Canis lupus familiaris: one gene and its partners. The protein of the gene in region 1 binds, or shares a complex with, the protein of each later gene. Links are inferred from orthologs where the notes say so. Each region holds a gene or a part of one and is shown in the gene's direction. Other genes may lie near its edges. The genes, in order: SNRNP200, LSM7, PPIH, LSM5, SNRPD2, PLRG1 and LSM6.

What was found.
Region 2: SNRNP200 (region 1) and LSM7 share a complex: the UniProt entries of both Homo sapiens proteins name them as parts of the U4/U6-U5 tri-snRNP complex. The link is inferred for Canis lupus familiaris from reciprocal best matches to the Homo sapiens genes SNRNP200 and LSM7.
Region 3: SNRNP200 (region 1) and PPIH share a complex: the UniProt entries of both Homo sapiens proteins name them as parts of the U4/U6-U5 tri-snRNP complex. The link is inferred for Canis lupus familiaris from reciprocal best matches to the Homo sapiens genes SNRNP200 and PPIH.
Region 4: SNRNP200 (region 1) and LSM5 share a complex: the UniProt entries of both Homo sapiens proteins name them as parts of the U4/U6-U5 tri-snRNP complex. The link is inferred for Canis lupus familiaris from reciprocal best matches to the Homo sapiens genes SNRNP200 and LSM5.
Region 5: SNRNP200 (region 1) and SNRPD2 share a complex: the UniProt entries of both Homo sapiens proteins name them as parts of the U4/U6-U5 tri-snRNP complex. The link is inferred for Canis lupus familiaris from reciprocal best matches to the Homo sapiens genes SNRNP200 and SNRPD2.
Region 6: SNRNP200 (region 1) and PLRG1 share a complex: the UniProt entries of both Homo sapiens proteins name them as parts of the minor spliceosome. The link is inferred for Canis lupus familiaris from reciprocal best matches to the Homo sapiens genes SNRNP200 and PLRG1.
Region 7: SNRNP200 (region 1) and LSM6 share a complex: the UniProt entries of both Homo sapiens proteins name them as parts of the U4/U6-U5 tri-snRNP complex. The link is inferred for Canis lupus familiaris from reciprocal best matches to the Homo sapiens genes SNRNP200 and LSM6.

The regions. Positions count from the first base shown.
Region 1 is NC_049238.1:34,675,953-34,679,452, forward strand, and holds part of SNRNP200 (U5 small nuclear ribonucleoprotein 200 kDa helicase), read left to right. Parts: coding exon 1-74; intron 75-171; coding exon 172-336; intron 337-570; coding exon 571-692; intron 693-925; coding exon 926-1,069; intron 1,070-1,173; coding exon 1,174-1,350; intron 1,351-1,651; coding exon 1,652-1,812; intron 1,813-1,928; coding exon 1,929-2,010; intron 2,011-3,500. UniProt on the Homo sapiens protein: Catalyzes the ATP-dependent unwinding of U4/U6 RNA duplices, an essential step in the assembly of a catalytically active spliceosome. Plays a role in pre-mRNA splicing as a core component of precatalytic, catalytic and postcatalytic spliceosomal complexes.
Region 2 is NC_049241.1:57,200,201-57,204,323, forward strand, and holds the start of LSM7 (U6 snRNA-associated Sm-like protein LSm7), read left to right. Parts: upstream 1-1,323; 5' UTR 1,324-1,333; coding exon 1,334-1,339; intron 1,340-1,422; coding exon 1,423-1,513; intron 1,514-4,123. Other genes in the region: SPPL2B (signal peptide peptidase-like 2B), read right to left, coding at 1,118-1,177. UniProt on the Homo sapiens protein: Plays a role in pre-mRNA splicing as component of the U4/U6-U5 tri-snRNP complex that is involved in spliceosome assembly, and as component of the precatalytic spliceosome (spliceosome B complex).
Region 3 is NC_049236.1:747,011-750,510, reverse strand, and holds part of PPIH (peptidyl-prolyl cis-trans isomerase H), read left to right. Parts: intron 1-2,904; coding exon 2,905-2,992; intron 2,993-3,476; coding exon 3,477-3,500. UniProt on the Homo sapiens protein: PPIase that catalyzes the cis-trans isomerization of proline imidic peptide bonds in oligopeptides and may therefore assist protein folding. Participates in pre-mRNA splicing.
Region 4 is NC_049235.1:44,955,705-44,959,853, reverse strand, and holds the start of LSM5 (U6 snRNA-associated Sm-like protein LSm5), read left to right. Parts: upstream 1-1,349; 5' UTR 1,350-1,461; coding exon 1,462-1,507; intron 1,508-2,593; coding exon 2,594-2,689; intron 2,690-2,974; coding exon 2,975-3,002; intron 3,003-3,678; coding exon 3,679-3,751; intron 3,752-4,149. UniProt on the Homo sapiens protein: Plays a role in pre-mRNA splicing as component of the U4/U6-U5 tri-snRNP complex that is involved in spliceosome assembly, and as component of the precatalytic spliceosome (spliceosome B complex).
Region 5 is NC_049222.1:110,602,361-110,606,375, forward strand, and holds the start of SNRPD2 (small nuclear ribonucleoprotein Sm D2), read left to right. Parts: upstream 1-1,215; 5' UTR 1,216-1,264; coding exon 1,265-1,266; intron 1,267-3,016; coding exon 3,017-3,196; intron 3,197-4,015. Other genes in the region: QPCTL (glutaminyl-peptide cyclotransferase-like protein), read right to left, coding at 242-517. UniProt on the Homo sapiens protein: Plays a role in pre-mRNA splicing as a core component of the spliceosomal U1, U2, U4 and U5 small nuclear ribonucleoproteins (snRNPs), the building blocks of the spliceosome.
Region 6 is NC_049236.1:52,571,453-52,575,742, reverse strand, and holds the start of PLRG1 (pleiotropic regulator 1), read left to right. Parts: upstream 1-1,490; 5' UTR 1,491-1,636; coding exon 1,637-1,645; intron 1,646-2,953; coding exon 2,954-3,060; intron 3,061-3,349; exon of another isoform or gene 3,350-3,421; intron 3,422-4,092; coding exon 4,093-4,235; intron 4,236-4,290. UniProt on the Homo sapiens protein: Involved in pre-mRNA splicing as component of the spliceosome. Component of the PRP19-CDC5L complex that forms an integral part of the spliceosome and is required for activating pre-mRNA splicing.
Region 7 is NC_049236.1:44,949,699-44,953,945, forward strand, and holds the start of LSM6 (U6 snRNA-associated Sm-like protein LSm6), read left to right. Parts: upstream 1-1,447; 5' UTR 1,448-1,606; intron 1,607-2,815; exon of another isoform or gene 2,816-2,920; intron 2,921-4,247. UniProt on the Homo sapiens protein: Plays a role in pre-mRNA splicing as component of the U4/U6-U5 tri-snRNP complex that is involved in spliceosome assembly, and as component of the precatalytic spliceosome (spliceosome B complex).

The DNA.
Region 1 (3,500 bases):
TGCCGTGGACTACCTGACCTGGACCTTTCTGTACCGCCGCATGACACAGAACCCCAATTACTACAACCTGCAGGGTCAGTGGACTGTGGAGTGCACAGTATCCTTTTGTGGTTCTCATGGCCCTTGCCGGCCATCTCCTGGTGACTCCCTACTTCTCTCTCACCGTTACAGGCATCTCCCATCGTCACCTGTCTGACCACTTGTCAGAACTCGTGGAGCAGACCCTGAGTGACTTGGAGCAGTCCAAGTGCATCAGCATTGAAGACGAGATGGATGTGGCACCCCTGAACCTGGGCATGATTGCTGCTTACTATTACATCAACTACACCACCATTGGTGAGGGGCCGGCAGGGGCTGGTGTCTGGGGAGCCCAAGCTAAAGGAGTCTCATGCAGGGGCCTGCAGCCCAGTGGGTGAGAGGGCACAGGGCTTCTAGCACCCTGTGTGTTCATTAGAGGGATGTATTGTGGGGTAGTACAGGGGTAGGGTAGCCCAGGCAGTTAACTTTCCTCCCTCCTCCTTTTCTACCTGCTTCTGACTCCTCCCCTTTCTCCTTACCTTTGGCTGTCAGAGCTCTTCAGCATGTCCCTGAATGCCAAGACCAAGGTGCGAGGGCTTATCGAGATCATCTCCAATGCGGCAGAGTATGAGAACATTCCCATCCGGCACCATGAAGATAACCTCCTGCGACAGGTGAGGAGGACATCGTGGATTCGGGACCACATCTTTAGAGTTGAAACTTAGCCTGTGTGCCCAGAGCATGCCGTGTTTCTGCCACCACAGGAAGACCCCAACACATCACTCACACTTCTCTGTTTTTAAGGGTTGTGAGCTTGCGGCAGCGGGTGGTACTTTGGGCCTGAGAGCTGTTCTTGGGGAGGGTCACTTGTCCATTACCAGCTCTTTATTTTTCTTCCACTCTCCAGTTGGCTCAGAAGGTCCCCCACAAGCTGAATAACCCTAAGTTCAATGACCCACACGTCAAGACCAACCTGCTTCTGCAAGCTCACCTGTCCCGCATGCAGCTGAGTGCTGAGCTGCAGTCAGATACAGAGGAAATTCTTAGCAAGGTATGGTGTGGGTGCAGGTGTGGGTATGGAGTGGAGGGGCTGGTGGTGGCCTGTGAAGTAGCAGTTCCAACCTTTCCTTCTCTTGCACTCCTATCCTGGTTCAGGCAATCAGGCTCATTCAGGCCTGCGTGGATGTCCTCTCCAGCAATGGGTGGCTTAGCCCTGCTTTGGCAGCTATGGAACTGGCCCAGATGGTAACCCAAGCCATGTGGTCCAAGGACTCCTACCTGAAACAGCTGCCACACTTCACTTCAGAGCATATTAAACGTTGCACAGACAAGGTGAGTTGGGTCTGGACCTGGATGGTTGGATGGCTGAGACAGGTGTCCTGGGATTTGGGGGGTGGGGGGGTTGTGTTTGGGGAAGGGTGAGTCAGAGCAGGGGGGAGTTCTAATTTCTCTGAGGGTGTTACATATTGAGATGCTAGAGAGCCTGACAGTTGTACAGTTGTGGGCTGTGTTCTTTCTGAAGCTGTGTATGGATGCTCTGATGGTATAGGAAGTAAGATTAGCAGCTGTCGAGCCAAATTCCATTTGCTGTTACTCTGTGTTCTCCTTCCCTGACCTCTGAATACCCCTGCAGGGAGTGGAGAGTGTTTTTGACATCATGGAGATGGAAGATGAAGAGCGAAATGCATTGCTTCAGCTGTCTGACAGCCAGATCGCTGATGTGGCCCGCTTCTGCAACCGCTACCCTAATATTGAGCTTTCTTACGAAGTGGTGGATAAGGACAGCATCCGCAGGTGAGCCAGGGCTGGCCGGGCGCCCTGCCCCAGGGTCCCTGCTGGGCACACAGTGACAGGGCCATCCCACCGCACTACCTCGGTGCTGATGCGCTCCCCCCTCTTGTCCCCTACAGTGGTGGGCCGGTTGTGGTGCTGGTACAGCTGGAGCGGGAAGAGGAGGTCACAGGCCCTGTGATCGCACCTCTCTTTCCACAGGTAGGTCCTAGGAGCTGGACAGAAAGAAAACTGATGGATGGAAAACTTCCTGAAATTTCCTTCTAGAAGATAGTTTGACAGAGCTAATTATTTATTTATTGATTTAGATTTTAATTTTTATTTTATTTAAGGATTTTATTTATTTATTCATGAGAGACACAGAGAGAGAGGCAGAGACACAGGCAGAGGGAGAAGCAGGTTCCATGCAGGGAGCCTGACGTGGGACTCGATCCTGGGTCTCCAGGATCAGGCCCTGGGCTGAATGCTGGCACTAAACCACTGAGCCACCTGGGGATCCCTAGCTAGCTAATTGAAACTAAATTGTCAAAAGGCATCTCAAAAATAAACAAACAAAACAAAAAACCACAAAAGGCATCTCAAATGAACTCCATGTTTAAGTACCAGGATGAAGTTTCTTTTGGAAGACTTATCCATCCACTAGATCCAGAGTTCAAGGTTACATTGTCACTTCGGGAGGGAAATTTAGAGTAATGACAAGACACAAGGCTGAGAATTTAATCTTGGGGCTATTGGTGGTTATTTGGGTTTTTTTTTTTTTTTTTTTTTTTTTGCTTTAAAACAATTTAGGGGGCAGCTCCGGTGGTGCAACGGTTTAGCGCTGCCTGCAGCCCGGGGTGTGATCCTGGAGACCCGGGATCGAGTCCCACATCGGGCTTCCTGCATGGAGCCTGCTTCTCCCTCTGCCTGTGTCTCTGCCTCTCTCTTCGGTCTCTCTGAATGAATAAATAAATAAATCTTATTAAAAAAAAAAAAAGCCAGGAAGTTTAAAAAAAAATAAAACAATTTAGGAAAAAAATAAAATAAAAAAATAAAACAATTTAGGTGAGTGGTCATTGTGAAAAACACCAGTTACACAGTATTGTCAATCTCTATGAATGTTAAGATGAATTTGTCTTTTTTTAAAGATTTTTATAATTTATTTGAGAGAGCACCAGTGGTGTGGGGAGGGAGAGGGTGCCACGCTGCTGAGTAGGAAGCCCAATGTGGGGCTTGATCCCAGGACCCCAGGATCATGACCTGAGCAGAAGGCAAGGACTTCACTGAGCCACCCAGGCGCCTCATGAATTTGTTTTTTTTTTTTTTTAGATTTTATTTATTTATTCATGAGAAACAGAGAGAGAGAGAGAGAGGCAGAGACATAGGCAGAGGGAGCAGCAGGCTCCATGCAGAGAGCCTGATGCGGGAATCGATCCCGGAACTCCGGGATCATGCCGATTTAAAGGCAGATGCCCAACTGCTGAGCCACCTAAGCATCCCATGAATTTGTCTTTAAATGGTTCCAAGATAGTTGGGCTTTTCTATGTGGTGGATCTTCTCCTTTCTCACTACCACTTAACTCCATTTTCAGTTACTTACTACTTTATGACCAAAAAGAAAATCTGATCTTTATATGAGAATAATTGAGGACTGAAAGCAGAAATCAGAAACATTGTAATGTTTAATTTCACAAACTAGTGGTTTAAAAAATT
Region 2 (4,123 bases), on another chromosome or scaffold:
GAGAGAGTGCTGAGGAAGATGATGGAGCAGGGCCTGGCAAACAGCGGGGGACGGGGCCTCCCAGGGAGCCTCTCCGGAGGGGGGTGGGGGCAGGGAAGAACTAGGAAGGATGACCAGGGGCATTCCGGGGAAACGGGGAAGACCAGACGGAGGCGGAGCGCCTTCAGCAAACTAGGAACAGGAGGGGAAGCGTCCCAAGCCGCCCAACCACAGAGGCCTCCCACACGCGCTGGAAGCCGAGGGGCGGCTCTCATCTGGATGCAACCAGACCTGACACACTTTCAGAGACATCCCTCCTGCTGTGCCGCCCATGGACTGGGGGGTGTGTGAGACGCAAGTGGCCACCGGAGGCTACAGGAGAGAGATGGGGACCTGCGGCGGGCAGCTCAAGGTTAATGGGACACCACTCCCTGAGCTGCATCACCCAGGGAACCGGGGAGGGAGGACCTGCAAATACAAAGTGCGCTTAGGAGGATGTCCACCCCCCGGCTGGCAGCAGGCCCCCCGCTGGCCCGGAGACCTCTGACCCCAGCTGCCCGAGGAGGAGCACGCTGCAGCTGTCACCCCATGAGCATCACCGCCGAGTCCTCACTGACGTCTTCCTTTTGCAGATGAGCAACTGACGCCCGAAGCTGGGGCCTCCCTTGCCCAAGGTCACGCAACAGAACACGGGGCGGCGGTTGGACCCCACTCGGGACGCGGGCTCTCGGCCGCTCCCTGTGGGGAACCGGGGGCCACGCCGGACGGCTTACCGCAACCACGCGGGTGGGCGCTAACCTCGCGCGGAAGGGGAAACTGAGGCTGGGGGCCAGGCGGGGGGCGTCCCCGGCGGCGGCCGGGGGCCTCGGGACGGAGCAGGGCCTGGGGAGCCGGGGGGCCTCCCGGACTTCAGACCCAGGCGCAACTGGGCGACGCTGCGGCTGGGGAGGGCTCCGGGGGGGGCCGGCCCGCAAGGTCACGGCCCGGCTCCCGGCCCGCGGGCCACCGCGCGGGGGGCGAGCAGACCCGAGGCTGGCCCCCAGGCCAGGCCGGGCGGGGCTCCCGCGGGGCGCGGGGCCCGGGGCGGAGGGACCGGGCGCCGCAGCCGGCGGGGCCGGCGGGGCCGACGCAGCCTCACCTGGGTCGCGAGGAGCAGGAAGGCCGCCGCGAGCCGCGCCAGCGCCGCCGCCGCCGCCATGTCAGCCGGGTCGAGCCGCAGGCGTCGGCAGATGTTTCCCAGCAACGCCCCGGCGCGCCCCGCCGCGCCTGCGCCGTGTGCGCTCCGCGCCTGCGCACGGGGGCGGGGTCAAAGGGCGCGCGGCGGCGCCTGCGCAGAGCGGCGCGCGGCGGCAAGATGGCGGTGAGCGCGCGGCGGGGCCGGCTGGGCGGGCGGCGTGGGACCCGGCCGCGCTCTGCGCCTCACGCGCTCTGCTTCCCCCGCAGGACAAAGAGAAGAAGAAAAAAGAGAGCATCTTGGACTTGTCGAAGTACATCGACAAGACGATTCGGGTGAAGTTTCAGGGAGGCCGCGAAGGTGAGAGCCCCCCGCCGCCCGCCGCCCGCCCCGCCGCCCGCTCCCCGTCGACGGCTCCGGGAGGCGAGCAGGGTGGCGGATGCCCGGGCGCAGGCCGGAGCGCTTTGCTGGGAGGACTCGCGACGGCCTCCGTCCGACGCCGTGCACGCGGGGAAACTGAGGCACGGGAGGAGCTGCAGACACCCCGAAGCGGCCGAGGCGCAGGCGGGGTCCTCGCTCCGAGGCAGCCGCCCCCGCTGGTCCCCGCTGGTCACTGACCCCCGCCCCGGCTCCTTGGGCTCCGCACTCGTGACCCTGACGCCAGCCAGATTGTTCGGGGCTGTCGGGGCGCTGGGGGGAGGGGAGCAGCCAACCCCCGGATGCCGCCAGATGCCAGGACATGCCTTAGCTTGGGCACCCCAACCAGGCATCTCCCTTGCCGAGCCGCGGCCCGGTGTCAAGGATGGTCCAGAGGGGCCTGTTAAACACAGGTGGGCCCTCCTCTGGGCCGCCCGGTCCCTCCCGGGGAAGGGGCAGCCTTGCGGAGCTCTCAGCTGCCACCAGGCTGTGACGTGCACCCGCCTGCTGGGCTCTTACCAGGCTTAAAACACAAGGCTTCTCTGGGTGAATGAATTTCAAAGATCTCGGGAGCTTTCTCCCACTATTCACGAGCCAGGGAGCACCCCACCTAGGAGACGGCGCAGAGCCCCAGAGGGTTTCGTAGGCAGAGGGTGCAGGAGCAGACGCTGGATCGCTTCCGGCAGGGTCCCCCTCCTCTGGGGGATGCTGGGGGTTCTTTCAGGAAGACTAGCTCGGGAGGGCTGACCTGGAAGTTCCAGGCTGACTGGTGGAGATTGCATTCCTGGGAGAGCTGCAGGTGCGGCCAGGTTAGGTATGAGGCCGCGGTGGGGTGGCCGGGGCTTGGCACGAGTGACGCCGTTGGGAGTCTCTCTTTCTAACTCCAGGTTAACTCCACAGTCATTTTTCTGCTCTCAGCTCAGGATTCTTGTTCCAGGAAGCCTTCCCTGATCCTCCACCCTGGGCCCCACGCCTTTGGTGTCAGCTCCTGGTACCGTCTGTCACCGTTCCCCGCTTTACGCAGTAAACACGACACCGACCTCTGCATCTTTCCCCTGGAATAGTGAGGAGGGCAGGAGCTGGGCCCAGTGTTGCTGGTGCGTGTAGGCAGTGTGGCCTCTGGGGTCCTAGCACCAGGCAGCTGGAGTCAGAGCCACAGCTCTTTGGCGCACTGGCTGTGGGACTTCGGGCAGCTCACCCCGCCCCCCAGGGCTCCATTTCTTCACTCCCCCCACCTCACCGGGCGGTGGTGAGGATCACAGGGTTGGAGGCACCTTCGATGTGGTTTCTGACACAAGCAAGCACTTGAGCAACATTTCATTTCTTCAGCTGCCTCTTTGCTTTCGTTGTGTTTCATGAGACAGTGACCCAGATCCTTTCTCCCGGAGATGTGGACGATTGGGTAGCATCGGCGTGGTTAACAGCGCGGTGCCTGCAAGTCTAGGTAGCCAGCAGTGGTGAGAACTTGAACCCGAACAGATGTTTGCTCTGTCTGCGCCGTGCTGGCTCTGGGACCCGTGAAGGAGACACAGCTCTCGTTTCTCAGGGTGCTCATATGGGTTTTCTACGCTGTGTAGCAAGTTGCCACCACGTTAGCAGCTTACGCAACATGAATTTATTATCTTGTGGTGTTTGTCAGGAGGAGTCTGGGTGCCTTGGGCTCAGGGGCTCAGGTTGCACTAAAGGAGTGTCTCAGACGCCCTGTTGGTTGTGGGCAGGGTTTGGTCCCCTGCGAGGGTCCTACCCCTGTAGGACCAGGGTCCCCGAGCTCTGCTACAGGTGTCCTAGAGGCTGCCCGCCGGCCCTGGCCACAGCACTGTCCACAGCATGGCAGTTTGCTCCCTCAAGGCCAGTGGGAAGATCCCTCTCATGCTTTGAATTTTTTGACACAGTTCCTGTTCCCCTGAGCTCATCTGATTAGGTCAGGCCGGCCGAGCAGAATCTCTTTAGGTGAGCTGAGAGGGCACTGATTCTGGGACCGTAATCACACGTGCCCGTTCCTTCGTCTTTATCCTCCTGTAACCTAATGGCAGGAGTGGCATCCCGTCCTATTCACAGGTTCCCTCCCACACTTGAGGGGAGGGGTTCCACTGGGTGGTCACCGGGGTCAGCCCCATTTTAGAACTCTGCTCGTGCCCCACGGAGGAGGGCAGACCCGCAGGTGCGGCCACAGTGCCCGCTGCCCATAAGCTCGTCGGGGAAGTGTCCTCGGGACCTTTGTCTTGCGGGCGGAGGGGAGGTCAGTCGGGGAGAGAGGAAGGCACAGAGCCAGGCGATCTCGGTCACGGCTGGAGGCGTGAAGGCGCCCTGAGCCGGTGAAGCTGCTCACAGGAGCGCAGCAGGCCGGGTTGGGCCCCCACGCCGTGGTGCGCAGAGCTGTCGGTCCCGTCCAGCCCCGTACTCCCCGCAGACACTACAGCAGCGCGGTGGAGCGTGGTGGGGGCACCCCTGCTTCGCCAGCTGTGCCTGGGCCGGGAGGCCTGAAGGCCGGAGGGGCAGGGCTTTGGGGCGCGTCCCTCTGGCCGTGTAGGCGCCGCTCCTCTGCGCATGCGC
Region 3 (3,500 bases), on another chromosome or scaffold:
CCCTCCCTGCTTTCCCTCATCACCCATTTCCCTGGCAGGGTCTCTAGTCTTGCTCTCCCTGATCTAGTATTTCCAGGCACCCGCTCTGTGCTCACTTGCATAACCTTCCACTTATTTAGGCAGGCATTCATCAAGTGAAGGTTTTCCGACACCCAGTCTGTTTCAGACGGGTGTACGGTGCTCTGGTACAGACCTGATCCCTGCCCTTCTGACACTTAACATCTAATGGGGCAATACTCATGCAAAATGACAAGCCCAGTGTAGTATAATTCACACTACTGCCTGTTGAGATAAGGGCTCCCCCGGGTATGTAAAAGTACTGGGAGGGCCCCGTAGCATGAGAGTAAGTACTTCAGGGGTCAGGCTTCAGAGGAAGGTGGTGTGAAATAGCAGGGTGGCAGTCAAGGGGCTGAAGGTGAGGAAGGATGAGAACATCTCTTATGAATGGGAGAGGGAAGGGCCAGTAGAGACCCCTGGAGAGGCAGGTGGGTCTAGCTCCTTAAGGGTTTTAAATGAAAGTAAAGATGAAGTGTCTGGAGTTTCTTGCATAGTTTATGGAGAGCCATACGCTTTTTTGAACAGGGTCAATAAACTTTGTGATTTAGGATGAAGCTCCTGGCTGCGGGGTGAGTGGCAGATGGGAATATGGAGGTGAGCGCAGGGAAGCTAGTCAGGATGCTACCATGAGAATTGGGCAAGACCAGACCAGCAAACTGTGCAAGCCCCATTTTTGGAAAGCCAGGCTGGGTAATCACGGGTAAATGCTGCAGGAGGAGCTTAGGTGGGCTTGGATCTTTGCTAGGAGGGCTGGAACCCTCTATGGGCATGCCCCTATGTTAGCATCTATGGAGGAGTCAGAGAAATGGAAGGAAACCGTGTCTGCTCCCTCAAGCTGACACTGGTGAAGTTGTGCTATCACAAATCATGTGCAGAACTGTTTTTGTTTCCATCCTCCTCTAAATCGTAAGTTCCTTAAGGGCAGGGACTGGGCCTCAGTGGTCTTGAAGCCCTACTACTTGAGACAGAAAGGCGTGGAGCAGATACCGATGAATGACCAAAAGATCATCAGCATGATGGCTAACATTTATTGGCCAATTGCTCAAAAAGCACTGTATTTGCATTAATTCATTTTAATCCTCTCAGCATACCTTTGAGATAGGTATAAATGAGGATCCCGAGGCCCAGAGAGGGTATGTGACTAAACTAAGGTCACACAGTCTGTGGTGGAGCTGGGATTCCAGCTAGGTCATCATCTGGCTCCAGAGCTTATTCTCGAAAGCAGTAAGCAGACCTGCCTGAGAATGAATTAATGAGTGGCTGAGGACAGAGAGCGTCTCCTGAGCTATAAAAATGTATATGATGGTTCTCTGGTTTGTTTGCTAATAAATGTTCATACGCCAAGCAGCAAGGTAGATTGATTGACTGGTTGGTTGTTAGGTGGAAAGAAGGAAGCAGAGATTTGGGAGCCCTGAGAAGTCTGTCCCTCATTGCACAATGTGTGCCCTCTGTGACTGGCTTAGGCATTCCCTTGCTTTCGTGCAATGAGCTGTTCTAAATACACGCACAAAACCCAAAAGTAGCCTCATCTTACGTGGGGCATTTCTAAGTATAACTAAAAATCCTCAGTGAGGTAGTGAGCACGTTCCCCTAGACAGTGTTGTGAATGTATTTCATACACACTTTTATCCCTACACAGCTGAGCACAGAATTAACCAATTTAAATCCACGCAGCGTCCAATTACTGCTAGTGGCCTATGTCATTATTTCCAGTCCTGTCTCCGTCATGTTAATCTTACGAGACCTGTGCTTTTAATAGTACTCTGTTTTCCACTTTCTACTCCTTTTTTCCAAAACAAAAGAAGTATGCAATAAAATGTTCACATAGACCTTGTTGCAAGGCAGTGCTACTGAAAGGTAACTTGTCGATGTACAAAAGCCTGAATTTAGTGTATTAAAGGCAATTTGGGGATACTAGCATGTAAAGTACAAAAGTACACTTCATTAGAAAGTCAAATATCACCCTAGAAATTATCCCTCTGCATCGTACGTAATAATAGCCTCTTCTTTTATAACACATTATGAAATGTAATGATATAGAAATAATTTCAGGGGATCCCTGGGTGGCACAGCGGTTTAGCGCCTGCCTTTGGCCCAGGGCGCGATCCTGGAGACCCGAGATCGAATCCCACGTCGGGCTCCCAGTGCATGGAGCCTGCTCCTCCCTCTGCCTGTGTCTCTGCCTCTCTCTCTCTCTATCATAAATAAATAAAATTAAAAAAAAAAATTTTTTTCAAGGGAGGATACAGGTAGAGACTTTCAGATTCTCAATTTAAAAAATTCTTGCTCCTGTAAAATTCAATAAGGATTTTGGGTGTAGCTGTAAAAAGCAAACATCATTGATTAAATGTAGTCTTTTTCTAGCATGGCACCAGCTTAGCAATTTCTTGCATTTTCTTAAAGGCATTTATTACCGTTGTCACGGTGCAGTACAAAGCTATTCAGACAAAAGAGCTTATGGCATAGGCAACAGGCTTTTTCTCAGTGGTATCTAATTTGTAACTATAATCCAGGTATAACCAATATTGGATTAAATACAGCAAATCAGGTCCCATGAACAGTTGTTCCCACTTTAAAAATTCACACTAAATAAATAAATAAATACATACATACAAATTCACACTGCAGGAGAACTGTGCCTTGATTCAAGGATCTAGCTCCTTGAGGGCAGTGATTATGTATCCTGTTTATGTCCTTGGATCCTAGCTCTGGAGACCTGGCTTATAGTAGATATTCAGTAAGGTTTGCTGAAAGAAAGGAATCAAGGCTACAGGCTCTTTTGGGAATCTTATCCTTCGGCTAGCGTGGCCGGGAAAACTCACTGGAGATGTACTTGGTTTCTGTCAGGCAAACAGTGGTCCCAGTACAAATGGCTGCCAGTTCTTCATCACCTGTTCTAAATGTGATTGGCTGGATGGGAAGCACGTAGTGTTTGGTGAGTGCTATTCCTGTCCCAGAGTCCAGGCCCCATTCACACGGAGTGGGACTTCCAAAGGAGCCAGTCCCCAGGCTCTAAGCCCAAGAGGGCTCAGCTGATATAACTGGTCTGGGAAGGTGGAGGTGGTGGGAGGTGGGGAGGACATGTGCTTGGAGCACTAAAGGGAAGGGCGGAGGGGCTGTGTGATAGAGTGTGTGACCACTTGGCTGATCTGTGTGTCTGGGAGGGAAACCCAGATGGTATCACTGAAGAAACGCCATGCGGAGGCAGCATGGTATGGTAGGGCTCTGCAGTCGCTCAGACCTAGCGCTCTGTAACCTCTTACCTGTGACCTTGGGCAAATCATTTCACTTCCATCAGGTCCCAATTTTCTGATGGTAGGAGGAGGGTCAAATGAGATGATGGCTAACAGTGGGCATCAGAAGCTGGAAAGTGCTACGCAAATGAGAATAATAAAGTCTAGCTCTTATTCTTCCTACAGGAAAGATCATTGATGGACTTCTAG
Region 4 (4,149 bases), on another chromosome or scaffold:
ATCTCTAGTTCTCTAGGATCCCTGAAACTAAGAGGTCTTTTATATTTTAAATTTCATATACCTTGTATATTATATTTGTTAGTAGGCTTTCTCTTCCATTCATCCTTAAGCTTCTAGAAGGGCAGAAGACATTGTAGTTCTGTTTTGTACAGTTTTATACTCAGCAAAATGCCAAATAGTGTGTAGCTAATGCATATTTGTTCCATGAATGAATGATGTGTGTATTACAACTATCTGTTGTATGAATGAATGATGTTTTTTTCTGCTCTCTCCTGTTTAGACTCGTCAGCCTTACGTTCCTGGGATACAAATATGAAACAGACTTAAGGCAGAGAATTTGTTTGCTTTCTATTCTTTGCAAAACAGAAGTGCAAAAAGCCTGGGATCCCTGGGTGGCGCAGCGGTTTGGCGCCTGCCTTTGGCCCAGGGCGTGATCCTGGATACCCGGGATCGAATCCCACGTCGGGCTCCCGGTGCATGGAGCCTGCTTCTCCCTCTGCCTGTGTCTCTGCTTCTCTCTCTCTCTCTGTGACTGTCATAAATAAATAAAAATTTAAAAAAACAAAACAAAACAAAAAAAAAACAAAAAGCCTTAAGGTTTCCTGTGTGATGACATTAGCGGACAGTGACATCTGGTGGCTGCTTATAAGACAAGACAGTTAAGTGTTGAAAGTGGATACAGTCTGTGATAAATTGGACTCCTAGCTACAACAAGGTAAGAATGATAAGGTAGTAGGCATAAAAATAAAATGTGTTTTAAATTTCCACTGTAGAAGGTTTTTTTTCTTTTTAAATGCTGGTTGTGGGTTTTCAATTCACTGGACTTTAAAAAGAAGCACTAGATTCTTTTTTCTCTCTTCTTTAAATAGGCTCCGCACCCAACGTGGAGCCCAACCAGCGGATCCTGAGATCAAGACCTGAGCTGAGATCTAGTCTGAGGCTTAACCCACTGAGGCACATGGGCGCTCTAGGAGTAGATGCTTTGAAAAACGGCTTTTACAAAAACTGCAACACAGTGCATTAGTGGCAAAAAAAAAAAAAAAAAAAAAAATTTTTGGTTCGGTCTGAAAAAAGATCCTGGCTTGAGATGAGGTGCAACTTCATAGCAGAAAATAAGACGATTCAAAGATTTCCGTATTTTGCAAAACCTTCCGGGTTGCAGGAAGGATTTATTCACAAAGCAGGATCCCTTTAGCGTCTGTCTGTCGGAAACTGCCCGGGGAAAGCCGCTACGTGCCCAGACCGCACCACCTGCAGCGGACGGAACCTTCTCCCCGAGAGCTCAGCGCCCGGGAAAGAAGCGATTGGGAAGGAGCGACTCCTGCGGACTGATTGGATCGCAAGTTCGGCCTCCGATTGGTCGAGCCTGTCCGGGCCGCGGGCCGGCGGGGGGAGCGGAAGCGCGCTCTTTCAAACTTGCCGGGCTGACGGCGAGGCCGGCGGGCCACTTCCGGCGTAGCCATGGCGGCCAACGCTACCACTAACCCGTCGCAGCTGCTGCCTCTAGGTAATCGCGGAGAAGGGGACCGGAGGGCTCAGGCTAAGTGTTGGGGCCCGGGCGGCTGCGGCTGAAGTAGCCCTTGGTCGAGTGTTAGGGAAATGTGGGGATGAAGGGCCTCAGTGCTCCGCGGCTCGTCTGCCGGCTCCCGAGTGTCTGCGGCCCCGGGCCGCCCGGGAGCCTCTCTGCACTAGGCACGAGGGCTGGGCGCTCTTGGACAAATTCAGACGCCTCCCACTGCCTGCGGATAGCACACACACCAGGAGGAGATAGAGCGCTCCACCTGTAAGCATCACGCCGAGTGATAACGAAGCCAGCTAACGAGGCGTTCAAACTGCGGTCCGAACACAGAGATAGTGACAGGAAGAAATCTCTGGTGGATACGGTTGTGCCTCTTCCGATATTTTGTAGCCAAAGAGTTGATGGAGTTATCGGAAGTGGCCTTGTTTTGGAAGTTTTCATTCTTTGATTCCACCAACTCTTTTTGAACGCTTGCTATGTGCCAGACATTGCCCACTGAGGATAGAGTCCTGGGAAAACAACCACAGTTGTTTCATGGGGCTTAGACTCTTAAAAAAAAACATCAAACAAACATTTTTATTCATTCATGAGAGACACCCAGAGAGGTGGAGAAGCAGCCTCCATGCAGGGAGCCCGATGCAGGACTCGATCCTAGGACCCCAGGATCACGCCCTGGGCTGCAGGCAGGCGCTAAACCGCTGAACCACCTGGGCTGCAGGGGGTGGGGGGGGCTCAGATGTTAATTATATATTAATTATGCATTTCGTATGTTAATCAAAATCACTTAAAATAACATTAAACCACAACCGTGATGGATAAACTTCAACAAAGGAGAGGTAAGTGGTAAACAGGACGTTTTTGTTTATGCAACAGAGATAACGTACCGTAAAATCTCTAAAGTTTTTGAATGAATACTTTCTCTGGTTTATCTTTCACAGTAAGTAACTAACAAGTGCCAGTAGGCATTCCAATATTTGTTGAAGAAATGAACAGGTAAAATAATCTTTTTTTCTCCACCCCCCCACCCCTCTTTTTTTTTCTTTAAAAAAAAAAAATATATATATATATATATAGAGCTCGTGGACAAATGTATAGGATCAAGAATTCACATTGTGATGAAGAGTGATAAAGAAATTGTTGGCACACTTTTGGGATTTGATGACTTTGTCAGTATCCTTTCAAAAGGTGGTGGTGGTATGGGTTTTCCTGCAGTACTTAAGAACAGAAATAAGAATATGGACAGTCAGTACGTAACTGGTTATTGTATTAGAAATTTATTCACCTCTTGATAGCGTTTTAAGAGGTGTGTGTACTGAAAAAAGATAAAGTTCCTACCGATTACTAGTATTTTGCTCTGGAGCCATTGTATTAAACGTTGTAATTAAAATGGAGTAAAGATAGAAGCCAGAGTAAATTCAACCTGGTATATGTATTTTTCTTAACACCAAATTTCAGATATGGTACTGGAGGATGTCACTGAGTTGTGAGTAGTGTTAAAAATTAAAGAATTGGGGGGAATCTCTCCTTAAGTCAATTTTAGTATTAATGAGTTTAAAATGATTAATGAGAAAACATTGCCTGTCAGAAATACCTTAAAGATAGAAATTTTATCTACTGACACTGGTAAAATTGGATCAGTTATTACCGGATGTAATTATTATGTTATTATTAATGACTGGTAGGGACTTAGTGGAGACTGAGCTTTGAGATAAAAGATACTAAAAACAGCCAAGGATGTTTGTGCTCAGACAAATCAAGGCATTAAACTTAAGATATAAATGATAGCTCCATTATATTAGTTTTAAAGATCACAACCAGTGTCTGCTTTCAAAATTGAGTTGATTACAGATTGGTTTAATGGGTAAGGGATTAGTAGTAAATAATAGTAAAAAGGTGAGGCTAGTAAACATTCCATTTCATATTTGATCTCTTTGGCCAGTTTTAGCTTCTTTTAGTTTTGATCCTAGTGGATGTGGATCTGAGGCCAGTCAGTTCACTGTGTTGCCTTTGGTCATCCAGTGGATAACCTTTGTCTCTGAAAACTACTGACATAATTGCTCAACCTCATATTCATATAATATAAGAATAACTTTTTTAGGGATCAGAATGTTGGCTTTGATTATCATTGTTTATCTTGACTCTTTTATTTCTTCATTTAGTGAAATCACACCAGAAGGAAGAAGGATCACTAAATTAGATCAAATTTTGCTAAATGGAAATAATATAACAATGGTAAGGTACAGTAAAGCTGGGCGTTTTTTTAGATGTAGCCCATTTTTGTGAGGCAGAGATTACAGATTACTTGGCTTGGTTAAATAAATGTTCATGGCCCAGTGGGTTTAAGTTGGGAATGAGATGCTCCTGTGATCAGGGCTCTAAAGCTGAGCTACTGAACATGACAATAGGCTTAAAGATTAGTTTGCTTGGGCTTTTTAATCTTTTGGTTTGCCAAGAATCATTGTTTAGACTCTAAGTATTAATTGACGATGTTGGGATTATAAACAGAAGCAATGACCTGGAGAAAATGGGAATGTGGGGGAGGAGCAAAGAGGCCAGGTATCTTTGATGGGTGAAAAGGGGTTTTTAGATGATGGGTGTGGTGGTGGTATTAATAAGCTCTTTTTCCTTCT
Region 5 (4,015 bases), on another chromosome or scaffold:
TCAGATTGGAACCCAGAATTCCCAGTGTTACTACTGCAGACTCTCCCTCTTAGGTAGAACCACCTATTACAGAACAAGCCCAAAGCCTCAGTTCGTTAGCAACGGGCATGCGCTCTATCGACGGAGACCGCAGCACCTGCAGCTTGGGCCAGACGACACAGCCACGTCAACCTGAGACCTCAGGGAAGGGGAGGCGGGGAATGAGGGCTCCCGCGGTGCCCGTGCCCCTGCCGGGCCTCACCCGCAGCTCCCGGCCCCGCGGCAGCTCCTCAGTCTGGTGGTGCCAGCCGCTCCAGATGGTGTAGGTCGCCGAAGCCAGGGCCAGGGCCAGCAGAAGCAGAGGCAAGAAGTGCGCCCGCGGGAGCAGGCGGCGCTTGGGCGGGGAGGGCGGCTCCAAGAGGCCACGTTCCCCGAGCCGTAGCCGGGACCGCCCGCGGCCCCCGGAAGGCATGGCAGCTTCGCCCCGAAACCGGTCCCGGACCGCGGATAGTTTAGGCCCAGCCAAATCCCACCCCATGGAATCACCGAACCAATAAACACGAAGAGCGGCTGCACCATCCCACCCACCCTCGGTCAGTGAAACCAATGGCGACCCTCACTCTGAGAACACGCCTTCCTGTCTCCCTGGGGCTTTGGGGTTGGTTCCCCTGAGGGTTGCACAACCCAAAAGGGTAGTGCGAAAGGGAGAGGCTCCGCCTCAACGGAGGAACGGAAGCCAATGAGCAATGTTTGATCCTGAAAAACGTTGGACCAAGGAGCAGGTCTCCGCCCCTCCCGTAGGAAGGCAAAGGATTGGTTACTCGAAGTCGGAAAGATCAATAGACACGTAAACGAACCGACACCGATGGAAAAGGGGCGGTGCCCGTCCCAGAAGCGAGGAGCCGATTGGCTACACGGAGGCCGCGCCCCCGAGGGCGGAGCCGGCGGGCTTTTGGAATGCCGTGTCCTGTCCCTTCTTCAGCTTGTGCCGCTCTACAACGAAACGATTTGAGTCGGACCCGCTTTATTCTTCTCTCCATTGTCTTCTCTCCATATGGTCCTGAAAGACCCTGAGCTACTACGCAGTGCTTCTACCCCACGTCTGCGCGGGGCCGGCGCGGATTGCCACGGCAACAGGCCTCGCCCACACCGTGCAGGTTGGGATTGCGCAGGCGCCGACGGAAGTCGGCCACAGGAAACGGAAGTCCCGCCTGTAGCCCTCTCTTCAGAGGCAGGAGCAACGCGGGGAAGACGGAGCTGATCTGCGAGCGCAGCCGCTACCACCATGTGAGGCCCGGCGGGAGTGGGGTCGAGGGCGTAGATGTGGCCGTTTGCCGGTGGTGGGCGAGGCGGGATCGGAGGCAGAGGTTTTAGGGGTAAAGTACGCACCGTTCTGACGAGTTTGAGGATGGGCATGGGGCCTTTTACGGGTCCTGAGTTCGAGGGAAGGCACTTGATCAGTTAATGAGCCGGGATTTCCCCGATAATGAGTCTCGCTGAAATGGATTTTAAGGGGAAGCAAAGAACCTGGGAAACGGGAGTGCGGAGTTTTAGAAATAACGGTTTGAGGTACGGGACTTACCCGGACAATTTGAGCTGGAGAAGTTCACCTCATTCGCGACTTTTTCGGCTCACGAATCGCCTTAATGATTTTCCTGATTTGGTATTCATTCAGCAATTATTTATTGAGCACTCATGTATTAGGCACTGCTTTAACTACGTGAGATACATCAGTGACTGCGACCCCCATCCCGCAAGAAAAATGCCCTGCTGCAGCTTATGGGTGTGGGAAAAGGCAGACAATGAACACACCGGTGATAAAAATGTAAAGTGTATGGCGTGTGTTAGGTGATCAGAGCTAAGTGAGTAAAGAAGCAAAAGAGCAGGATCCAAACAATGGGGAGTACTAGTTTTGAGAGAAAGTAACTCAATAACCAGTGCAGGACACATTGAGAAGGCAGCAGTTGAGCAGAGACCTGAAGAACCTGAGAACCACAAAGATACCTGGGGAGGTATCCAGGCAGAGGGAAAACGAAGGGAGATGCCCAAGGTGAAAGTCTGTCTAATATCTTATATATTTTTTAAAGATTTTATTTACTTGTGAGAGACACAGAGAAGCAGTATCCCCACAGGGAGCCCGATGTGGGACTCGATCCCAGCATCCCTGGGTCAGGATCTTTTTTTTTTTTTTTTTTTAAGATTTTATTTATTTATTCATGATAGACATAGGGGGAGAGAGAGGCAGAGACTCAGGCAGAGGGAGAAGCAGGCTCCATGCAGGGAGCCCGATGTGGGACTTGATCCCGGGACTCCAGGATCGTGCCCTGGGCCAAAGGCAGACGCTAAACCGCTGAGCCACCCAGGGATTCCCCCTGGGTCAGGATCTGAGCCGAAAGCAGATGCTCAGCCATTGAGCTACCCAGGCGCCCCTTGCCTAATATCTTAAAGGACCACCTTCAAGGCCACTGGCTGGAACAGAGAAGGATGGGAAGATGCCAGGCATTGTAAAAACTTTGGGTTTTACTTTTTACACAGAGATGGGAGCCATGGGAGGGTTTCGAAGAGTGAAATGATATGACTTAGATTTTGATACAACCTCTGGGACTGCTGTGGAGAACAGACGGTCAGCGGCATGGGCTGAGGTAGGGAGACAAGTAAGGCTCTCAGGAGAGAGATGATAGAGGTTTAGGCCATGGTAAGAAACAGATTCTGGGTATATTTTAGAGGCAGATGACAGAATTTGCTGACATTGAATGTAGGATGTGAGAGAGAAGAGTCAAGTTGATATCAGGGTTTCTGCTCAAGGAACTAGAATGATGGAGATGAGGAAGGCTGTGGAAAGAGTAGGTTTGAGTGATTGGGAGATCTGGAGCTCAACTGAGGATGTATACGGTTGGAAATGTCTATTCAGCATCCAGCTGGTGATGCCATGCAAGAGGGACTGAGCAGGGGGGTGGGTGGGTTGGGGAGACATCATGTGACCACCCACGCTCTAGCTCTGGGCCTCTCACCTACGGGTTCCATGCTTGCCCCTCAGGAGCCTCCTCAACAAACCCAAGAGTGAGATGACCCCAGAGGAGCTACAGAAGCGGGAGGAGGAAGAGTTTAACACGGGTCCGCTCTCTGTGCTCACACAGTCAGTCAAGAACAACACCCAGGTGCTTATCAACTGCCGCAACAACAAGAAGCTCCTGGGCCGTGTGAAGGCTTTCGACAGGTAAGCACCTGGGTCCTGGAAGGTGTTCTGTCTTGGAAATGCAGACACAGTTCCAGTGTGAGGAACCCAAATACAAGGTTTTCAGAGTCCTGGGGCATAAGCATATTCAGACCTCAAAGTGCAATGGTGTCTTGTTGTCCTTCCAGCTGTGCAGTACAGTAGTGATGGGCATGTACTTGGGAGCCAGGCTTCCTGGGTTTGTGTCTCGACTCTGCCTCTTAGCAGCCATGAAACCTTCAACAAGTAACTTTATCTCTTCCATTCAATGGCAGTAATTCTGGTGATTGCAGAGATTCAGTGACTTAATACATGTGATGTGTAATACAGTCATTAGAAGTACAGCATCTGGCACCAGGAAGCTCTTATTAATCAGGTTTTGCAGTTACGATATAAAGTACCATGCCCCAAAAGAAAAAAATAAAGTACCATGCCCAGTACTTTTTTTAGGCTCCAGAGACACAGCAATGACTGAAAGAGGACTCCTATACTTAAGAGAGCTTATGCCATAGGTAGGGAAACCAACAGCAAGCACACAAACAATGTGTCATAAGAATAGTAAAGGCAGGTGAGAGTGTGGAGTGCTGGGAAGGAGGTGTTGTCCTAGACGGTAACGCTAGGGGTTCCATAGGAAGAGACCGTGATGAACAGACCTAAATACAATGAAGGAGGAAGCCAGGGTCTGAGTGTTTCAGCCAGAGGGAACAGCAAGTGTTATTTCCTCTCTCGGCCTCAGTGTCCTTGTCTGCAAACTGTGCGTCATAAAAATACCCCTCATAGAACAGTTGTGAGGATTAAATATTTCTGTAGGAAGGGTACTTG
Region 6 (4,290 bases), on another chromosome or scaffold:
ATAATTCTACAGATTCAAGAGAACTTTTTAAAAGAAACATAGTCTAGTGTAATTTATCTCAACTATTACAATGTTTGATGAGTCTGGGTTTATACAATTCTTTCCTGGATGATTAACATGTTAACAGGCCCCAACTAGACAGTTATTATATTGCCATAGATATATTAGAATCTTGTTTACATTTCTATAATTTCATCACCTTTAAAAATAGTATTCTTTTGTATAGTTATCACTATCTATGAGGAAGTTAAAATATGATGTAGGTTCCCAAGTACATATTGCACCATTATAGAATTTCTTTATGAGGCCCACCACCAGTGGCTACTGCTGCAGAAACTCAGTAGGCCAAACTCACTCAAATTCAAACACGATTGTATTTTCAAGTAGAAACATGACCTTAATGTTTTTGATTAATTAAGAATCAATGTACATCCAATGAGATTAGCAATTCACATTGATATACTTTTGATAGGATTTTATTTATTTATTCATGAGAGACACAGAGAGAGAGGCAGAGAAACAGGCAGAGGGAGAAGCAGGCTCCATCCCTGCAGGGAGCCCGATGATCAGGGACCCCAGGGTCACATCCTGGGTCCTGGGCCGAAGCAGATGCTCCCCCACTGAGCCCCCCAGGTGTCCCTCAATAAGACTTCTTCCCTCTCCAAGCCCATGCGGTATGCTGAGATCAGTGGAATTGATTAGCTTAAGGAACAAGCAGGGCCAGTGAAATATTTGCCTATCGGATTTACAAATGTTCAACTCCTGTTTGCATAGAAAAGTAATGGGACAGGCTTGATCGAAAACTGCATTTTACCTAAGACAAGACAATATAAAATACTGCTATTTTGGCACTAGGATGTGTATAAATAAAAGTGGCTCGAGTCTTCAGTTGTGTCTTTCTTCCGCCAGCTTTGAAAAGCTGCCCTTTGATACTGTCGACGCCACCACGTTCATTAGCAGACTGGCTGAAAATCGTGCGGTTTTGAGAGATTTAAAAAAAAAAAAATCTATGCAGCGTAAAAATAAATGTGGGGATTTGCCGTACAGGGCTACAACAAAGATCTTTGCACACTTTCTCAAATGCAAAGTGTTCCGCAACATCCGGCCGCCAAGGGTTAACGGGACAGCATCAGCGCAGGTGCTCTCGGCAGCCGAGGCCGCAGCGCGCGGAGGCTTCCAGGCCGGGCAGCCCCGCGGCGCAGCGGGAGCCGAGACGTCAATCAGGGGAGCTGGACGCGGACCGGGATTCGCTCTCTCCAGACCCTCCCTAGAACGGACTCCTTGGGTTCGCTGGGAAAAAAAATAAAATTAAAGGATTAAGCTTGGGGAGGCACAGCGCAAACAACCACACCCCTGAACCGAACTACTTAAGTCCGAGCCGAAGGCTCTTCCAAGACCTCCTCCGGGACGCCGCTGAGCCCCGCCCACCTCGCCGAGGCCACGCCCCTCTGGAGAAAGCCCCGCCCCTCGATCCCAGAAGGCCGCCGGGCGGCTACCGCGCCTGCGCGGAGGCCCCACTTCCGGCGCCAGGGCGCTCGATTCCGGAAGGGCTGCGCGGCGGCGGCGGCGGCGGCGGCTTCTGTGTTGCGGGCTGGTGTCCCTTGTCTGTTGGAGCGGCGAGTCGCACGGCAGCATCATGGTCGAGGTAAGGTGGCGCTTGGTGCTGAGGGGTCGTTGGCTTCCGCGGTGTTTTTCCTTGGCGGCGGGCGTGGGGGGGTGTTCGCGGTTTGGGGATGGTGAAGGCTGCGGAGGGGGGCTGTCTGGCCGAGGCCGGGTGGTCTCTGAAGGTTTTCAGGGGCAGAGGAAGGCCGGGTGGGAGCCCTGGCTGGACGTTACCCGCGGCCGCGAAGCCCGACTGAGTTTCCACGGTCCGTATTTGGCTCTTGAGCGTCGGGTCTCGGCCGGGCCCCCGGAGGCGCCGCGTCCGGCCCCGCGGGGTCCCCGCCTGCAGAGCAGCGTCAGGGGCTGTGTGTCCTGAGGCGGGCGGTCTTCCTCCAGCTCTGCCCCCAGGAAGACCTGCCATTTTGAAGTTTTGCATCAAACTGTTAGCCAGCCTTGCCCGTCTCATCTCAGAAATACTTCTGGAGCCTTGTCCAGACCCACTGCCTTCGCCTTAATTCAGATCCGGCGTCATCCTTCGTCTGCACGAGTGCCTTAGCTCCCTGCTGGTGTTCTCGCTTCCATTTCTTCGCCCTCTGCAAAATTGATCTGTTTAAGATATACGTTGATCGCGTTTTTTTCTGCTTAAAATCCTTCGCTGGCCAGATGTCACTAGAGCAAAAGTGCAGACTGTTGCAGTGATCCTTTAAAAAAAAAGAATCCTTAACCTAATCTGCACCTTGTCTACCCTTGCAACCTCATCCCAGCCTCACAGTCCACCTTCCAGTGGAACATGCACAGTTCTCTTGCAGCTCCGGCCATCATTGCAGCCACCAAACCCCTGTGTACCTGGCATTTCCTCTCTGCCTGGATTGTTCTCACCTCTGCTCTGCACGAGGCTGAATTTCTGCCTAAGGAATACCTCAGAGAGATCTTTCATAACTATCCTAGGTTCTTTCTTGGCTTGCTTCCTTCATAGCACTTATCAAAGATTTGTTGCTTATTTTTCGTTTTCTCTTGAGCACTGGGACCATGGCTGCCTTGTCATCATTCTTTTGTTAGCTTCTAGCACAGTGCCTGCCAGACACATAGTAGGAACTCAGTAAATACTTGTTCGAATCAATGGCTAAGCTCAGGCATCACTAATTGGTATACCTGGGGCTCTGGCCATTGAGGAGCTTCCTCCTCCTCTCTGACCTTGACTTCTTCTATCGCTTGCTACAAATAGCTGTGGTGAGTGGTACAAAGCTTTTTACATATTTAAATGTGTAAAGTGTATGGCTGCTTTGACTTAATTTAGGTTGTGGTATGTGTCATTTGTAGCTAGATATGTGATTCTGTTCTTTCTTTTTAGGAGGTACAGAAACATTCTGTGCACACACTTGTGTTCAGGTCATTGAAGAGAACCCATGACATGTTTGTAGCTGATAACGGAAAACCTGTGCCTTTGGATGAAGAGAGGTAGGTATTGTTCCTTTTCAGTTACTGGAATATGTAACTTCTAATGTTGGGGGAAGAGAGCAGGGAGAGGGGGACCTTTAAAGCTTAGTGAGTGATACTAACACTCGTAGGATGTCTATTCGGTAATGAATGGTGTTTGGGCATGATTTAAGCTGATTTAACTTTTTTTGGCCTTGTCTTTCACAATAAAAAGTCCCATTAATTAATTGCATTTATAAATACCCAGTAATTAGGAGAGTCCCTTTTAGGTGTTTTATTTTATAATCAATCACTTTGTATGTGCTTTCAGCTTCCCGCTGCTCTCAGAGCCTTGCTGAGCTGAAATTGTACCTGGCCAGTACCTCTACTCCCATCTTTTCTCGTTAGTATGATGAAGATTTTTGAGTGGTGGCATATTTTTGGTTCTACATCTCCAGCTCCAGTCTGGGATTGCATTATGTGCAGTGTTCCTTCTTTGTCCTTTACCCTTCTTTTAAAATCTACTTAATTCCTAAGACAAGCATTTATATTTAATTTATTAAGTGAGCTGTTCTTAAGACTAATATAAGTGCATTTCTTTAAAAAATATTGAACTAATTAACTACTTTGATTAGTTCTAATTGGTCTTTTTAGATACATCCAGTAAAGGTTATGATAGAAGCTTTTACTGTGTTTTTATATTGACACATTTGAAGGAAAGTGTATTGACTGAGGTTTTTAAAAGGATATATTAGTTTCTATATGTTTTTAAATCAGACCCTTGGTAATTTATCATGAAAGGTTATATATTTATTGGTTAACAAATTAAAATGCTACTTAGACTTAATGGATGCTCTGTGGTGGATTGGGAACAAAAAAAGTGTGGAAATGCACTTGGAAATTCCAAGCTTTTTAAAATACTATTTAACTTTAAAAACTTCATAGAATTTTTTCTACATGATTAGGCAAACCTAAGCTATTTAAGTACTTGTGTTCTTGGCTGTCTATATTTCTTTTGGCTAATATATTTAAAGCACTCAAAGATACATTCTTATGTTCATAATTTTTAAATAGTCACAAACGGAAAATGGCAATCAAGCTGCGTAATGAGTATGGTCCTGTGTTGCACATGCCTACTTCGAAAGAAAATTTTAAAGAGAAATGTCCTCAGAATGCATCGGATTCGTATGGTCATAAGCAGTATCCTGCCAATCAAGGTGAGGATGTATTATCAGAAATGTCAGGACTTACATGTGAATTTTCAAAATGAAA
Region 7 (4,247 bases), on another chromosome or scaffold:
TAAATATTGATGATGGGAAAAAAATGCTAAAGAAAAACTTGTGAAACATGGAATGTTGCCTTGTGAATCACTGAAAGCCAATTATAAGCTGCTGAGGGGGATTCTGGGCACAACTACATTTTGATAATTGTAGTTTATCAATGGTGCCTGCTGCACTGGTCCAGCGGGGCCCTCAGAGATCCATGCCTCTTGGAAGAGGTAGCAACTATGCCTGCAGATGAACCATGCCCTTAAAACTTCTCATTGCCTCCTGCCTACCACACCCGTCTTAATGACTCCACCAGGGCTCTATAGCAATGAGAAAAAGGCTATGAATCAAAAAATTATTTTTTATGAATCACTGAAACAACCACTGAGGAATATAGTACAATTTGAGGTCTTTTGTGAGGAAGGCTTTTTAGGGACAGGGTTTTCTTTATATCTGATTATGTTTGTTCTTTGCAGCTAATTATTTTATTTAAATGATACTTAATTTTTTTCACATTATATCTTATACCGCAAGAGCTTCAAATAAAGCCTTTTCAAGAAATCTGTAATGCTTGGTTTTTACCCAAAGTGAGCTTTTATGGAAGGATATAAGGAAATCTCTTTTCACCACCAAATCACACCCAGTTGTTCTCTGGCCGTCATATCAATCAAAGATTCTTTCTTCAGCTAAGACAGGTTTACGAGAGGGGAAACTCATGTAGATCTTAGGGAAAAAACCCTGCATCTTAGATCTGTAACACTTAAGAGTTAAGAATCTGTCCAAAGATATTATTTCTTTGTTTAGAGTGTTGCAAATCACAAGCAGAATTAAAGTATAGGTTTTAAGTTGAGGGTATGTGTGTGAGGAGAAAAAGGAATCAAGTGTTGGTATAACACTTTACTTCTTTTTCTTCGCCCTTTCCACTAATAGCAAGAATATTGAGAATCCATGCAGAATTCCAAACCAAGTTCCCATAGCAGCACTTAAATAATGTCTGCATACCATTTCCAATTAGAACTAGATTGTAATGTAACGCAAGTCATACCATTATAATACGGAGCTACTTTAGGGATTTTAATTCTTTTTGTGGCAATTACGTTGCCATGGAAACAATCTCTTGCTAATAATGACTTCATCGCACGATCAAAATCCAAAGTGGATTTAAAGATTTGAGGATGCCTGCTTTATTTATTTGCATTAACTTTTTCAAGGACCTTTCCGAGCCTGTATAGTCATGACCCTAGTAGTCAATTCCAGTTTAGTAGGACTTCAAGCTATTTCTTGCATCTCTGCCTAAAGGAAATCCTGCCTAAAAGATCACTTCCAGGCTTTGTTTTGTTTTAAGTATTTTAAGGGGTGTTTGCTTTCTGCTAAGAGGTAGCAGCAGCGGCTCTTTCTCCTCTGACCGCCAAAGCCCCAACTTTGCCTTCGGGCCAAACGAGACTCCCGGCTCGGCGCGCGCCGCCGAAGCGCGGCCTTCTTGGGCCCCGCAGGCTGCCGTAGCCCGGAAGGGCGCTCCCCGGCGGCCGCAGAGGCGCGCCGCCCGCTCCGGCAGTTTCACTTTCGGTTTCGCCCGGGCTTCGGCGGAGGCCGCAGCTGCGCGCCACCTGGAGCGGGGGTTTGGGTCCCGGCCGCCAGGTGAGCCGGGCGGCCGCGCGGGCGGCGGGGGCCCCGGTGTTCGCTGGCCCGGGGTGGGTGCGGGGAGCGGCAGCCGGGAGGCGGGCCGCGCGGACCCCAGGGGCCCGGCCCAGAGCCCCCCGGAGGGGCGATGGACCCCGCGGGCGCCCGCCGCAGCCTCCCCGCGCCGCCGACTCGCCTTCCGGGACCGGGACCGGGGCTGCTGGCGGGGTCCTCGCCGGCGGGTGGGCGGGAGAGCGGGCCGCGGGGCCCCGTGGGCCGCGCCGGGTTCCGAGGGCTCCGGGGCCGCCGCGGCCACCTTACCGGGGCCTGGGGCCTCGGGCCGCGGGCGCCCGCAGGGTACGGCGTCGAGTCCTGGCGCCGGGGCTGCCGCGGATGAGCGCGCGCGGCCGGAGCAGGGGATGGGGCCTTAGGGTGCCCCCCCCCCCCCCCAATGCCGCAGAGACACAGGCTGTGGAGATCCTGGACTCAGAAGCGCTTAGCGAAGGAAGCCCTATTCACTGAACCCCTTCCATCTTTACTCTTGCACGTGCCACTTCCTGTTTGAGCTACGACTACCTGTGCCCTCCGTTAACAGTACAGAGAGTTGTCCGCTTTCATTGAAAAGTGCCTCTTAAATGTTATTTCTGGTTTTGCGCCTTTTGGTGGGCTACCTGTTCTGTCCTTGTGTAGGTCCCGTAAATTATTCAGCCATTTCCCGACTGTGAGGCATTTAGGGTGTTTGCGAATTTTTGTTTCATCCTAGCATCCCAGGTAGTACTTTGATAAACGTTATTTTTAAAACTGCATTTCGGATGATTCACTTGGATTGATTCTGAGCAAGGACATTTTTACAATAGGTGCTGTGCCCCAGTAAGGTCTCTTCAGATCTACATACCCCTTGCCAAATTGTTTTCCAGGAGAGTTTTAGCAGTTTGCATTTCATGTAAGGTTGTGCCTGTTTTCACCAAAAGTATGATAGCTCATAATATGTATTTCTAACACGTCACCCTCACTTTTTTTTTTTTTTTTTTTTTTTTTATGGTGGTGTTTCATAATGCCAATTGCTTGAATTTTGTGCAGGAGTCTAGAGAATTATCTTGGGTTTGTGTGTGTGTGTGTGTGTGTGTGTGTGTGTAAAAGTATTACTGGAGTTCCTGCATAGGCTGACAATGTTAGAGCAGGATGATCTCTTAAGTGGTCATCCAGCATAACTCCCTTATTTTGCAGATGAGGAACCTGGGGCCTTGAGAGGTGAAATGATGAGTTCTCCAAGGTATACAGCTACATTAAGTAGCAGAACTGGGATTAGAATTCAGGTTTCCCATCTCCCAAGTGAGTACTCCTTATGCTGCATTGGGTGGTCTCTCACTAAACTGTGGCATACTTGTATGAGCATTTTTAAAAATCTTGGCATCACTTGAATTATTTTGTCCTGTTAGAAATAACAGAGATTTTAGTCATCTGAGGGAAGTGTAACACTTGGGAAATTGACCATTTTCAGGACTGGGACTAAGAAATCCATTACTTAAAATGGCAACCCTTCAAGATTTTTTTTTTTAAAGATTTTATTTATTCATTCATGAGAGAGAGAGAGAGGCAGAGGGAGAAGCAGGCTCCATGCAGGGAGCCTGATGCGGGACTCGATCCCAGGACTCCAGGATCACGCCCTGGACCAAAGGCAGGCGCCAAACCGCTGAGCCACCCAAGGATTTCCCCCCCTTCAAGATTTCTTGACAGTTGTTTTTAGATTCCCTTTATGTCAGGATAAAGTATCTAAAAAGTTAGAATTTAAAAAAAAATTAAAAGTTAGAATTTGTACTCGATCATCTGATTAGAATTGAGCTGTTTGTTCTCATTTGTTATACCTTGAAAGTTTTTTAAAACTCCTTGTTGCTTGAATACTAGAGAACAATGGTTTTTTGATAAAGGGTTTATAACAGAGTTTTTCAACCTCAGTTGACATTTTGGGCCGGATAATCCTTTGCTGTGGAGCACTGTCCTGTGCTTTTTAGAATGTTAAGCAACATCCTTGGCCTCTATGTCCTAGCACCACCCTCCTCATTCAAGACAGTCCAGAATGTCTCCAGATGTCCGCATTTGCTTACAGGAATCATTTGGGAAGCTTTATAAAATGTCAGTTACGGTGTCCCCTTGCCTGGGGAGTCTGACTAGGAGTAGTAGACTTCAGGAATCTGCATTTTAACAAGCATCTCTGTTGACTCGGATGCAGCTGGTTCTTGTACAACACAGAAACATTTCTATTTTCTTTGTCTTTTATTTGGTGGTCAGTAGCAGAGATATGACTGTGGTATAGCCATTTAAGTGCACAGATGATGCAGTGCTAGTCACTATACCCATAGTTTGCGGGTAGGGGTGAAAGGGACAGGGATTTTCCTTGGCACTGTCCTCAAATGTCTCCCACAGGATTGATTGGCCGGTGAGCTTAGGTTCCTTTTCCCCTGTCTCTGAGAAGCTTAGAACCTACTGTGGGAGACTGATCAACAGGAAAACTGCAGAACAGCCTGCTAAATGGGAAGGGGTGCTCTCTGAGTGCTGGATTCATGGCTGGAGTGAGAGAGGGGAGGAAAGTGGCCCTCTCCTGGATGGGGAGGAGGAATTGGTATGAATCCTTCAGAAGAGGGCTAGGTACCCCCTCTGT